3 linked regions of the Canis lupus familiaris genome follow. The protein of the gene in region 2 interacts with the protein of the main gene of each other region in a pairwise test. Links are inferred from orthologs where the notes say so. Each region holds a gene or a part of one and is shown on either strand. Other genes may lie near its edges.

The links.
Region 1: the proteins of KRT40 (region 2) and WT1 interact in binary tests that used the Homo sapiens proteins (3 or more experiments, as listed by UniProt). The two-hybrid records come from large-scale screens. The link is inferred for Canis lupus familiaris from reciprocal best matches to the Homo sapiens genes KRT40 and WT1.
Region 3: the proteins of KRT40 (region 2) and ZBTB16 interact in binary tests that used the Homo sapiens proteins (3 or more experiments, as listed by UniProt). The two-hybrid records come from large-scale screens. The link is inferred for Canis lupus familiaris from reciprocal best matches to the Homo sapiens genes KRT40 and ZBTB16.

What each region holds. Positions count from the first base shown.
Region 1 is NC_049239.1:35,503,590-35,508,112, reverse strand, and holds part of WT1 (Wilms tumor protein), read right to left. Parts: intron 4,505-4,523; coding exon of another isoform or gene 4,502-4,504; coding exon 4,379-4,501; intron 3,916-4,378; coding exon 3,813-3,915; intron 2,885-3,812; exon of another isoform or gene 2,755-2,884; intron 1-2,754. UniProt on the Homo sapiens protein: Transcription factor that plays an important role in cellular development and cell survival. Recognizes and binds to the DNA sequence 5'-GCG(T/G)GGGCG-3'. Regulates the expression of numerous target genes, including EPO.
Region 2 is NC_049230.1:21,662,530-21,667,135, reverse strand, and holds the end of KRT40 (keratin, type I cytoskeletal 40), read right to left. Parts: intron 4,357-4,606; exon of another isoform or gene 4,267-4,356; coding exon 4,105-4,266; intron 4,037-4,104; exon of another isoform or gene 4,026-4,036; coding exon 3,900-4,025; intron 3,749-3,899; exon of another isoform or gene 3,636-3,748; intron 2,569-3,635; coding exon 2,348-2,568; exon of another isoform or gene 2,230-2,347; intron 1,842-2,229; exon of another isoform or gene 1,802-1,841; coding exon 1,702-1,801; 3' UTR 1,223-1,701; downstream 1-1,222. UniProt on the Homo sapiens protein: May play a role in late hair differentiation.
Region 3 is NC_049226.1:19,123,082-19,127,604, forward strand, and holds part of ZBTB16 (zinc finger and BTB domain-containing protein 16), read right to left. Parts: intron 1,872-4,523; coding exon 1,704-1,871; intron 1-1,703. UniProt on the Homo sapiens protein: Acts as a transcriptional repressor. Transcriptional repression may be mediated through recruitment of histone deacetylases to target promoters. May play a role in myeloid maturation and in the development and/or maintenance of other differentiated tissues.

The sequences.
Region 1 (4,523 bases), on a different chromosome or scaffold from region 2:
TCAACGAGTCATGCAGATTAAAGATGTCAATGCTTGTAAAGTACTTAGAATGGGGCCCCTAAAGAAGGAAGTCTGTATAAGGATTTGCTCTGCATATTTATCAGCAACAGTACTGATACAGACTGTGTAAGGGGAACATTCCAGGTGGAGGATGCCGAGTGGCCTGAAACTCCTCCACAATGCAGAGCACAGATGGGTTTTGAAGTCAGAGACACTGTGTGGATCAAGTCCTGGTCCTGATTCTGATTTGCTGTGTGACTTAAGGAAGTTATTTCGAGAGCCTGAACCTATTTCCTCTTCAGCAGAGTGGAGATTAGAGTACTTACCTCACAAAGTAATCAGAAGAATTAAAAGTGTGACCTGAATGAAGCACTTAGCTCAGTGCCCAGCAGCACATAGTCAGCATGCAATAAATCCTCATTGTTTACTCATGTTTCACTTAGCTATGATCACTGGGTCCCATAGGGGCTGAAATCTGGCTTCAGAAGCCTTAGTGACCTTTAGACAGAGCTTTACCCACCTTCAATATGCGGGATGGCAGAGAGGATGGGAAAAACCATCTCCTATCACTACCCATAAGTTGACTGGGGACATTTTCTATTCACTATCATTCACATCTGCACACAAATGTGCCCCGCTGTAACTCCTGAGATCTGTTACCTGAGAGAGAAGAATCCCTGTATAGTTCTCTCCTAATGAGGAGAGAATCTTGAGAATTCTCTGAAAACAAATTCGTATTGTGCACTGCTTGTTTAATATCAGCATATGTATCATCACCTTTATTTCATGCTGGGAAGACAAAATTCAAGATTAGAGAGACAGAAGCTCTTGGAGGGCAGCGGATAAAAGGCTGGGCAGGCTGCCCCAGGGGGTCAAGTGCACCAAGGCAAACGAAATACAAGCAAGCCTTTCCCAGGAGGTCCCAATTTTAGACAGAAGGGAATGGAGCCAAGGACCATGGAAGCACCACTGAGTATCTAAAACCCAAATGTTAAGCCATTAAGTGATTAAAATTTAGTCTTATTTCCCATGCTTTTTCAAACACTGCGTTCATAAAAGCATATAAATACCCTTTCAGATTTTTTTTTAGGAGCAAAAAGAAGAAAATGACATAACTCCAGTGATGTCGATGCATAGAATCGATTTTAAAACTTCCCGACACCTGTCCACTCATCGTTACTTCAGGGGAACTATCTGACCTTTGAAAAGTGATTAGAAACATTATGAATTTAGGGTGACTGGAACTTCAAAGACAGTACAAACTTCAAGGGAGCAAACTCTTTTCCTAGGGAGTCACAAATTCTTCTTCAGATGCTACTGCTTAGAAATGTTCTCTCACAGAAGAAAATGGTATTTTGTTGACATAAACATAAAAATGAGAAGCAAAAGAAGTTCCATTTATGTAGAAAGCAGAAAGGGATAAGCAAATATTTCCAAAAGATGAACTTGACAAAATTGCTTTATACAATCAGAAGCTGGATTAGAAAGGTGAGAATTTTACCTATAAAATGCAATCCAAGTGACTTTTCCTACTTCCATGGCAACCACAAATTCAGCCCTAAGTCAAAATCCACCACAGGGACTCAGTTTGGAGAATTGTTGTTGAAATAGCGACTGTGACCACTTTTTCCCCACCTCCTCTTTCTAGGCTGCTCAGCCCCTCTGTGAGAGAGGAGAGTAAAAAATGTTGTGTATCTGTGTCCCTTCTGAACTAGATTCCAATGCCTCCCAGGCCCCAACACCCAAGGAGGTAACCCAGCACATCTCAACAGCACCCATTCCAGCATGGAGGTATTCCTTGCTGCCTAGGTAAGGCTCCAATCAGGAACCAAGGAGGTAGGAGTTCCCATGGGGAACCATTCCAAATGCACCCCCAATGGCTACTAGGATAACCACAACGCCACTTTAGAAACGGGCAGAAGCAGTTCCTCAAGAATGATAGCAATGGCCCTGCCACCACAGTTTTACTGGGGTGGGAGTGGGAGTGGGAGTGTTGGCAACACAAAATGGTTCTGGGTTCTGCACCCCTTCCAGTGACCCCACCCACCACGAGGAAGCACAGAGACTATGGGCTTGGAAGCACAGGGCACTGGGACTGAAGTGTCAAAAAAAAGAACGAGATCTGCTAGTGAGAAAGAAAAGGAGGATGAGGAGGTGTGGTCACTCTACCTCTTTCTGTGCAACCCTTGCACATTTCTTTGCCCCTTCTGGCTGAAAGAAAAAAAAAAGAAAAGAAAAGAAAAGAAAAGAAAAGAAAAGAAAGAAAGAAAGAAAGAAAGAAAGAAAGAAAGAAAGAAAAAGAAAAGAAAGAAAAGGAAGGAAAGGAAAGGAAAGGAAAGGAAAGGAAAGGAAAGGAAAGGAAAGGAAAGGAAAGGAAAGGAAAGGAAAGGAAAAAAAAAAGAAAAGAAAAGAAGAAAGGCTAAAGGAAGGGGAAGGGAAGGGAAGGGGAGTGATCTCGAATCCAAGATCCAAGTAGATAGGCCAGAGTTTCCCATCAAAAGGAAAGGCTTCCGAAGCCCCTGGGCCTCAAGCATACAAAACCAGAAGGGGCTCGACCTTGTACTTCCCCCACAGGACAATCAGACCGGTGCCAGGCTCAATTTCATGCGCACCGGGGCCCTGGGATGCGCCGCCGCCGGCGGGGGAGCGCAGACTCCTTCCCCTCCTCCACCTGTGGGACTGCAGGTCCCCCAGGCGCGGCCACCCCCCACCCACCCAATCTCCCAGGGCAGGCGCTTTTCCTTCCTTCATTACCTCACTACCTCCTTCCCTTGACGTCAGCCCCGGGTCCTCGAGCGGAGGGGGGAGGATGGAGAGGAGTTTGGGGCAGTCGGTATCAGGCTCCCCGCAGCCCCGGGCTGGGGGGTCGGGGCGGAACGCGAGCTAACGCGCGCCCGACCCCCGCCTCCCGGGCCGAGGGCCGCCGCCTCCCTCCCCCGCCGCACCTTCCAGGCCCGCGCGCGCCGGCGTGTGCACCAGTTACTAGGCAACCCTATCGGAGGCGCGGGACGCCGGCCAAGTTCACCCAAAGTTGAAGAATAAATTTGGGGGAAGAGAAGGTGGAGGGTGGAGCGAGAGCCGGGAGGACGCACCAGGGACAGAAAAAAAAAAAAAAAAAAAAAAGCTTGGAAGAAAAAGAAGCCGGTCTCCCGCCTCCCCGGAGCGGGGAGGAGGGCGGGCGCGGGCGGGAGGGCGGGCGCGGGGTCCCCGGGGGCCACTGCCGCGTCCCGGCTGCAGTCGGCACACGGTCGGGGTCGGGTCCCCGCGCGGAGCCGGGCGCTGGCAACCACGCCCGCCGCGCGCCGCCGCCGCCACGGCCCCGGGACCGCAGGGCCGCGCCGAAGGCTGCGGTCCGGGTGTCCGCGCCCTCGCAGGACTCCGGGAGAAGGAGACGGCCGGCCGGAGTGGCAGTGGGCGCGGGGGCGGGGGGTGAGCAGTGGGAAGAACGGAGTGGGAGTGGACTCCGCGTTTCATCTCTGGTCCCGAGGAAGTTAAAGCCCTCCCATAAGGAGCCTTAAAAAAAAAAAAAAAAAAAACTTCTCGAAGCGCCACTCTTTTAGCTCAAATAGTAACCGCCGTCATTTATACTCAAAACAAGAACCACCAGCAGAGGAGGAAACCTACCTCTTCCGCAGCAGAGCCAGGAGGTCTGCTTAAATTTGCCTTAAGTAGCTAAAGGCGTCCTCTGCGTCCGGGATGGTGCACGCCCGAGGTCCAGGGTGCCCGCGTCGGACGTCACCGCTCCCGGGGTTCGCGCGCACCCCCCGCCCCGGGTCCCGGCGACCCAGACACCCGGCCGAGCGCCCTCCTACCTGCTGTAGGGCGTCCTCAGCAGCAGGGCCTGGCTGCCGGTGCAGCTGTCGGTAGGGGTGTGGCAGCCGTAGACGGGGGGCGGCACGGAGTACTGCTGCTCGCCTGCAGAGAACCCGAGAGCTGCGTGAGCGCGCCCCAAGGGATCGGGGTGCCAGTGCGGGTGGGGGTGCGAGGACGCGCGGGCAGGGTCTGGGACAGCCGGGCTCGGAGACTAAGCGGCGGGGTTGGGGGGCTGGATGCTGGGGCGTGCCGAGAGAGTGGGCGTCCGGATCGATTGATCATAGGGTGCTAATGAGCTTCTCACTTCACATTCCCTAGGCGGTCGCTTCCTAGTACACCGAAAAGACCATCGAGACCGACGCAGACTTGCTTGAGTAGAGCTGTCCCTAACATTCTTGGGGGTGGGGGCAAAACTCAGTCCTTTCTTTAAAACTGAGTGGGACTGGGCTGATGATTAAAACTCCCTTCTCTCGCAATTTGCTGTGGTTTGGCAATTCCGGGAATTGGGGGGGGGGGGATGGCGGAAGAAGGGCAGAAGGACCCCACATCGTTCCCGCCTGCTTACCCAGAGAGCCCTGCTGGCCCATGGGGTCCTCGTGCTTGAAAGAGTGGTTGGGGAACTGCGCGGCGTGGTGCGAGGGCGTGTGACCGTAGCTGGGCGTCCCGTCGAAGGTGACTGTGCTGTATCCTGCTAGGCGGGGGAGAGAGGC
Region 2 (4,606 bases):
CTCAGCGGGGACCCTGCTTCTCCCTCTCACTCTGCCTGCAGCTCTGCCTGCTTGTGCTCTCTCTCTCATCAAATAAATAAAATATTTTTTCTTTTTAAAGAGGAACATATTATGAGCAACATTATGCCAACAAATGAGGCAATCTGGAAGAAGTGGTTGCATTCCTGGAAACTTATAAACTACCAAAACTGAAACGGAAAGAAATAGAAAATCTAAACAGACCCATAACCAGCAATGAAATTAAAGCAGTGATCAAAAATTTCCCAACAAACAAGAGTCCAGGGTCAGATGGCTTCCCAAGAGAATTGTACAAAACATTTAAATAAGATCTAATACCTGTTCTTCTGAAGCTCTTTTAAAAAATGAAAAGGGAAAGAAAACTTCCAAACTCATTCTATGAGTTATAGATAAATCAAAGTTTTAAGTGTATTTCTTTGCATAGTTTCTTAAGTATGCTCAAGGTATTACATTATATATATTATATATTACATTATATATATTATATTTTGTATATATACATAAACCTTATCATGCTTATTTGTGTTGACATCTTATCACTGCAGATGAAGTATAGAAACCTTACCTCTCTTCATGTCCCTTGACTCTCCTCTTGGAGATTTTGTTTTTCTGTCTGCCCCTGCTGGTATTTATGGGTTGTTGGTTTCTTCAGCTCCCAACATGGGATATATGAGGCCAAAAGAAAACCCAAGGAACTCACTTGCTTGCTGTTCCTTGAATATGATTCTAGTTGGTTTGGCTTCTTCCACCTTTCAGAATCTGCTTATATTTCTTTTATATGTAATTTCCCTGGTTTTCAGCCAGACTTAGGAAGAGGAATGAGGAAATGTACATCCATTTCATTTTTTTGGAGGTGGAGTTCTCCACTTTGCTTTTTAAATGTGTATGAATAATTATTCTTATACCCCAAATGTCCAATAACAGGCCAATAACCTTATGGTATTTTATGTAGCCACTAAAATAACAGTCACAGGACAATCTTATAGGTTTATTTGGATTGAAAATGCTTACATGACATAGTGAAAAAAGTAGTTTACTCAACTATGTGCATATGTAAATATGATTTCCATTATGTGGAAAAACCTATTATATGAAAGAAAGCTGGAAGCTCCCAAAATACTGATAACGGGTGTTTGGGGGTGGAATTGTAACTAATTTTTTCCCCTTTCATGTGCCAAATTGAGAAAAAAATGGAATCCTGTACTTTTATAATTACAAATAAGACATTTATTCTTAAATTTCCTCTTAGAAAGATACATACAACTGTCTTCCAAGATGTATGACATTTTGCATGGATTAGTTAAACTTTTGTATTTGAGGAGTTAAAAACTATTTTCAGCCTCGGTTTGTGCAAAATCAAACTATCGACATGGGTTTAGGCATCACATGGTTCTTATATCCACAGTTATAAGCCACAAAGCTATATTTACCATGCTAAAGGAATGAAACATATTTTATTTGGAGATTAGCAAGAAAGCTTTATAGACTCCTAGAATATCACTAATAAGCAGGCAGGAGAGGAAATGACAAAGCAGAAATATAATGGGGATGTTTAGAGGACAAATTTAGGGTAGAAACCCCTTCTTGACTTTTAGATTTGGATGCATCTGATTGAAGTCCCATCTCCTTTCCAGGACACTGCTGGCTTTGACTCCTCTATCCACTGCGCCGAGGGTTGAACATTCATGCACAGTAGTTTTCGACCGTGCAAATCAGATACGCTGAGCATGCCTCACAAGTGTTGCTTGATGTGCTTATTGTAGAACACGGGTTACAAGGAAGCCTGTGGAAATTTTGAAGTAAGCTTAACAAGGGAAATCCAGGTAAAATTTCAACTCAGAAAAGATCGTGCCAAAATTTGCCCTGCAAATGATGTTCTGAACACTCTTTGCAGAGTAGCATTTGACCTAAGCCTATTTCAGGCCTAGATTCAGCATTGCCACTAGGAATGCTCACTGCCCCTGTGCCAGTTGAATACACAGTTTTGTGTATTTATTTCACTTTGCAAATGTTATCTTATGCATGTTCCTGATTTCTCTTTGGTGGAAGTCAGGAACAAAGGGGGACGCCCAGCATGAAATTTTGTATGTGATACTTATTCTGCTTTAGAACTTTGGAATACTTTTGAATACTTCTACTGTCATGTGATTAGCCTCAGCTGTTTTTTTTGTTGTTGTTGTTTTGTTTTGTTTGTCTTTTTACTCTTGTAAGGAGATCATTTAACACATGAGGGAGGTTTCACCTTGGGCAGACCTTGAGGAGGCAAGATTCTCTTGCATGAGCTTCTTTGTGACTTGGGGGATTTTGAGAATAATCGTGTGGAACTTGCCTGCTGTCTTCACTCTCAAGGAGACCTCGGTATGTGTTGATCTCACCCTCCAGCAGAGCCTTTGTGTCCAGCAGCACCTCATACTCCTGGTTCTGCCGCTCCAGGTCACAGCGGATCTCAGCCAGCTGGTTCTCCACGTTATCAATCAGGCACTGCATCTGGGCCAGCTGGGTGCTATACTGGGCCTCCGTCTCTGCCACAGTGCATTCCAGAGACTCTGTCTGCAGAAGAAAAAGAGTATATTCAGAAGGGCTGTGTAGCATAGTCCTTGGGGCCAGAGTGCTGGTTTTCAAATCCTTGATCTACCCTAGTGCATCTATGTGACTTTGGGAAAATTACTTAGCTTCTCTGAGGCTGTTTTATTTTATAAAAAATGACCAATGCAAAGTACTTATTTCATAGGATGGTTGTGCGGATTGAATGAATTAATATGTGTAAAACACTGTGAACAGTGCCTGGAAAAAATTTCAAAACTGTGCAAGGGTTAGTTATTACTATCACCACTTGCCCATCACAACCTGTAATATATATTAAGGAAGATCAACAGCATTTGAGGGGAGAAGTTGAGTATGGACTTGGGGCAGGAAAGAGCCATATAGAATGGTTCAGAGAAGAGGCTCTGGGATTGAACCAGCTGGATCCAGCTTCCACTTTTGCCTCTTAACAACTGCATGAAAAAAAAAAAAAAAAAAAAAAAAACAACTGCATGACCCCTGCTACTTAATCTGAGTCTCAGTCTTCCTCATCTGATAATGGGTTTAGTAAAAGGATTTATCCCATCAAGTTATTATGAGGCGTTTAAGCCTCTCACAAGATAAATATGTAGCTATTATTCACCCAGATAGTCTCTATAGGCCCCAATGTGGCACAGACAGTGGTGTCTGACTGGAACTGGCTAATGTGATCTTCAATGCATGGTATCCTTTTTAAAAAAATTTTTTTTTAAAATAACCTCTATGCCCAGCATGGGGCTTGAACTCATGATCCTGAGATCAAGAGTCACATGCTCCTCTGACTGAGCCAGCCAGGCTCCCCAGTGCATAGTATTTTCATTGCTGGGTGAAATGGGGTGGAGTGAAGGGTCCAGTTGAGGTGTGGATCCTGGAAAAGCTTAGGGTAGTGGAAGAATGCAAAGTTTGAATATTATTCTTTTATATGATGCTGAGTTTGAGAAGTTGGCCCAAATCAAAGCACAATTAAAACCCACTGGAATGCTTCAGTGCCTTCAGCTCAGAGGTTCCACTCTCATTCTGCTCCTGCCCTCCTGTTCTTTTTCTGTCTCTGGAAGGTGCTGCAGGATCATGCTCAAGCCCAGGAGGGAAGGTCAGGGAATCCTGTTGGGACAGTACAGACTGTTGACCTATCACTTCTGCTTCTAGCTCAGTAAACAGCAGTATTTGGGTAAGTCAAAGAATACAATCCTTGCATATTGGAAATTCAGACTTTCTGCCACATGAACTGTGGATCTCTCCTTGGGTTCATGGAAGAGGGACTAGCATCTCAGGGCTTAATTCTTCAGTGACAAAAACAGAGCTGTCTTTCCCTTACATACCAGGCTTTGCTGTGCTTGGAGCTCAATTTCCAGAGCATTGGCTGTGCGTTTCAGTTCCAGGATCTCTGTCTGGCAGTCTTGCAGCTGCTCTGCGCTGCACAGCTGCTGCTGATTCAGCTCCTCTGTCTGTAAACCAGGTATGATTAGAGGATGCAAATAAGGCAGAAGTCTGGAAGCTTGTCATTTTCTTGCTCTGGGTACTGACCTGAACAGCAAACCATTCTTCCACGTCTCTACGGTTGTTGGCCAGCACGGTTTCATACTGACAACGCATCTCTTCCAGGACCCTGTTGAGGTCGATGGTGGGGGCAGTGTCCAGCTCTACACTGAGTCGGTCACCCAACTGTCCACGAAGCAAGTCAACCTCCTGAAAGAGGAAATGGAGTAAAGAAAGTCACAGAGTGGTGGGGAAGAAGAATTCACCTTGACATCCCAAGAGCATCCAATTTCTGGAGAAGTGAGTAAAAGTGTGGGATTTAGATTCAGATTGCTTAGGTTGACTCTCTTTTCATCATTCAGTCTCTGCATCCACAAAAGGTGTATAATAATTTTACCTTTCCTAGAGAGTTATTGTGAGAGATATGAGTTGATGTTCATATAAAGCACTTATGAAAGTCCTTGGCACATAGGAAGGTCTCAATAAATGCTATTATCATCAACACATGCTCAAAGGGAAAATATACCATTTTACATCATTAAGTTTTTCA
Region 3 (4,523 bases), on a different chromosome or scaffold from region 2:
GGCTCCAGTATTGCTCAGCATCCCCTTAGCCCTGCCTTATTCTTCTGAACCCAAAGGCCCAGAATATTCCCTTCCAAAGAAAGGATATGGAATCTAGAAATGGGGCAGTGGGGTCCCGAAAGCCCTTAGGGACGGCTCTTCAGCACAGCTCCTTTCAGGGGAACAAGGCGTAGAGTCCTTTCAGGCTATAGCTGGTGGGGAGGATGGGGGTGAACGTGAGGGAACCCCATCCTCCAAACATGCTCCATCCGGGATGCCTATTCCCCTAAGGTTCCCAGAGCCACCCCTGGACCCTGAGCCTTCCCAGGGGGGCCAGGATGGGGAAGGGACACATAGCCTGGGAATGCCTGGCCACACCCTAGCTGCTACCCACCCTACCTCCTGCCAGTTAGAGTCCCCTGGAGCTGAGCAGAGGGTGTGAGGGAACCTTGTTTCGATACAGTAATTAACTGGCCAGCCATCTCGCTATCGATACTCCTCTGTGCAGAGGCCCCAGCAAATAATGAAGTAATGAACAGCCAAAGTGATCTAACTATCGACCCGCTATTTACAATAGTCACCACCGATGCATTTAATGATCCGCTCACCAGGTCACATCCCCAGCAGGGGGCTAAGGAAGCCCTGGGGCTCTGGGAAATGCTCGGAGTGACTCTGGCTGTCAGCAACAAGCACCTGAGGCTCTCCTCTGGCCCAGGCCGGGGGCAAGAAAGCAGAGCTCCATAACGCAGCATCCTCTCCCTCTCCTTACTGCTTCCCTGTTCTCCCCGCGGCTTGTGGACGCATCCTCGCCCCTCGGCCAGCAGGACCTGTCTGAGGTCACCTCTCCCCCCATCCTCTGTCCCCAGGTCAGGACAGCTGTTTCACATGATCAGAGGAGGCTTCCTACTTTGCTAGATTCCACTACCTTCCACTACCTCCCACTACCTCATAGGAAGTCCTTCTGAATATCCACCTCCCCCCCCACCCCAAAGCCGCAACCAGCAGGGTGCTGCTGGTAAATGTTTAACAACTAGCTCTCCAAAAAGGCTCAATTTTGTAGCATTTGCCTGTGTCTGAGGTGATGTGGCTGTACTTGGGAGTCAGGGAGAGACGTGCAGGTGGACTTCCATGAGCTGGTGCAGGCCAGCTCCAGCATCCGCCACCCCCCAGTTTGGCAATTCTGGCCACCACGGCCACTTCCCCTTGCTCTGTCCTCAGACCCCACACCCCCATCCTATTTCTTTTACATAAAAAAGAATGTGAAGGCCCTCTGAAATGGTAAACATCATACAGGTAGAGGGGTCTGTGAATATATCTGTCTGCGATCTGACTCCCAGCATCACAGCCCTCATCCTAACCTAACTCAGTGCTCCCCTAGCCCCCAGGAACAAGAAGCCCTGCCCAGCGTTTGCTTTTAGTCTTCAGGCCAACCTGACCCCAATTCAGGGCTCACAGATCGAAGTCATCTATGCACTATTGGTACGGCTGCCTGGAAGGTGGGTCTGGGCTCCTGGAAAGTGTGCTGTGATCCACTAGCAACGTGTGCCTCGGCCTTGCAGGGGGCAGTGGCGCCTGAGCCGTGCTAACCTTTCCCAGAACACGCTCCACTCTCCGTCTCAGCCTGGGACCATGCCCACCCAGGCTGCTCTGGAGAACCACCTGCCCCCTGCCACTTATACCCAGGTCCCCGCGCAAGCTGGGGTGCCCTCACCAGTCCTCCGTACCTGTGTGCACCCTATAGTGTGTCTCCAGCTGGTGCTTGAGGCTGAACTTCTTGCCACAACCATTGCACTCGTAGGGTTTCTCGCCCGTGTGTATGCGTTTATGACTCTTGAGTGTGCTCTCATCCCGGAAGCAGCTGCCACAGAACTCACACTCATACGGGTGGTCGCCTGTGGGGACAAAAGGCTGGATCAGAGCCTCGTCTCCCCTACCCCCATCCCCTCTTCAAGAGGCGGCAGGGCACATTTAATGCACCGAGAAGATGAGACTGCCTATCTTCACCACCATTCTTCAAAAACATATAAGGACCCGTGGCCTCCTCTGGGCCCCAGTGTGAACCAGGGAGCTTGTATGCACACACATGTCCATACTTTACAGGGCCCTAGAGTTCATCTGTGGGTCAAGGGCCAATCCCAGGAAGAGAAAGCCCATTTGTTTCAGGGATGAACAGTTGACCCCAGAAAGCAGACCCCCACAAGGGGAGGGCAGACCCGTGGGCTTTGACACCTTGCCCCCCAACTTCTCCTGCCACCCTCTTCCTTTCCCATAGGTAGCCTAACTGCCTCTCCTGCCCTCAAAAAAAAAAACCCTCCAATTTGGGGAACTAGAACACACTGTCCCCCAAATGCCTTGTGCTACCTCCTCGCTCCACAGTTACAACAACTATCCCCTCTGCTTGATTTCCTCTTTCCTTGCTTCAATGAACTCCTACTCATCCTTCAAGACCCAGTTCACACATTACCGTGGTTTGGAAGTTTCCCTTCAACCTCTCCCACCAAGATAAACTGAGTCGCTTTCTTCTATCCTAAGAGAGAAGAAATACCTAGCATTGCGTTATTTTAGCAGCAGGATCATTTTTACGGGAATTTTTAATTGGAATGGTCTAACCTGCTGAAGGCTCACCACCATGCTGGGAGCCTTACACACATCTTATCATGTAATCGCTGCAACCACCTGACAAGAAACACACAATTCTCACCATATAGACGAGAAGAATGAGATGCTTAGCTGATCTCTAAGGTCAAATAGCTCATAAGCTGCTGAGTCAGGATACAGATCTGGTTTTGGAGTCTGAACGCTTGATAACTTATCAGATGGCTAAGTTGCACACAGCCCTGTCTCTCCTGCCACGCACACTGTACCCTGAGGATGGAAGCACCTTGAGGGTCAGAAGGGAGACTTGTCGATCCTTGTTGCCTGGGTACGTAGCACACGGACGACCCAGGGCAGATGCTCAGGCCTGGAAGCGGTGCCGTCGGCCTCCCTTCTGTGTGTGGCACCCATTAGCCCCCTGGAGGGTGAGAGGGTGGGGTGCTGGGATCCACCATCTTTTGCTTTGTACCCAAAGTGGAGGCTTTGGGGGCTGAAAGGTGAGGCCTTCGGCGACTTATTTATTACAGGAGTGAAGGCACAGACAATAAAGATAGATGGATCACCCCAGACTTTGTTCATGAATATTTAAATATCGCTGATTCGTCTTGTCACTGTAATTACAATTTCTCTGGGCTGCATCTCCAACAACCACAGTTTATGGTAAAGAATGGCCCACTGTATTTCACTTGTCCCTCTGCAGATGTGCGGGGCTGCCAACCGTGTAATGTCCTCTGCATTTCATACATTTTCTTCGGCTGCTGAAGGCTTAAGTCATCCACAATGACCTACGTTTTTTCATTATCCCCATGTCAAACTGCACTCGTGCCTGGGCATAAATTGTCCTTCTCGTTATAGACTCGCGTGCCTATGCCTTCACTTCCTCTTTAAAATGATATTTTACTCTCTTGTCTCTCTCCTCCTCAGGCCGCTAACCAAACCTCCCCCCTCTCAAACGCAGGCCCCCGTCCCCACATAAATTCTCATCTCTCCTGATGGTGCTGAAGGGTTTTTAAGGCTCTGTGGGGAGTGGATGCTGGGGTCTGCTCACTGCGGGCTCGCTCTCTCTGCAAGAAGCTCTGAAGACACAGAGCGGTGGTTGGGAGCACTCCCAGGCGGAGTCAGACAGGAGAAGCTGAAAGAGCAGAACCACATCTCCACATGGGTTCTCGCCAAGCTACGGGGTACAGCCCTGGCTGGCTCAGAGGCATGGGCAGGTCTGGAGACAGACCAAATCCTGGGCTTCCCGGCACCTGCCAGGGCCATACAGACCACCTGGTCCCCAGCCTCCAGCCCCACCAAACCCAGGGGGAGTAGAGGTCTATGCAGACCCTGGTCCTCACTAGCTGTGTGTCTGTCTGAGTAAGGGCCAGTCTGCGCAGGCCTGTACTGCGTGCTACTCTCTCTGTGCAGACGTCTGCACACAGCTTCCCCGCCACCCCCGCCCCCCCGCGCCTCGTTGACATCCGACTCCCCCTCCTTGCCGAATTGGCAACGATAACGACTTTAATCAAGGATTCAGTATCCTCATTAAGATATAAATAAATAAATAAAGCAAGGGCCACGTGAGACTTCCAACGAGAGCCGGTAATTAAAACGTACATCGGCAGCCACCCGACTGAGGGGGGGGGGGGGGGGGGGGGGGAGGCGGGCCGGGGAGGGAGGGAGCCGCCGTCTGTGCCTTCCCCTCCAGAGGGGGGCCCTAAGAGTTTAAAAAACAAAGGGTTAAAGCAGAGAGGTTTGTTTGATCAGATTTTTATGAATTTAATTATGAAGTGGATCACATGTTAAATGAGTTTAAATAGGAAATCTCCAGAGTCAGCCCAGGGAAAGGAGTGAAAAGAACTTTGAAGGGAAAAAAAAAAAAGATGCGCACACACAAGCACACGCACACACATGAACACACACGCGTGCACACACTTTGAAGCATGGTGAGCACCTAGCCTAAAATC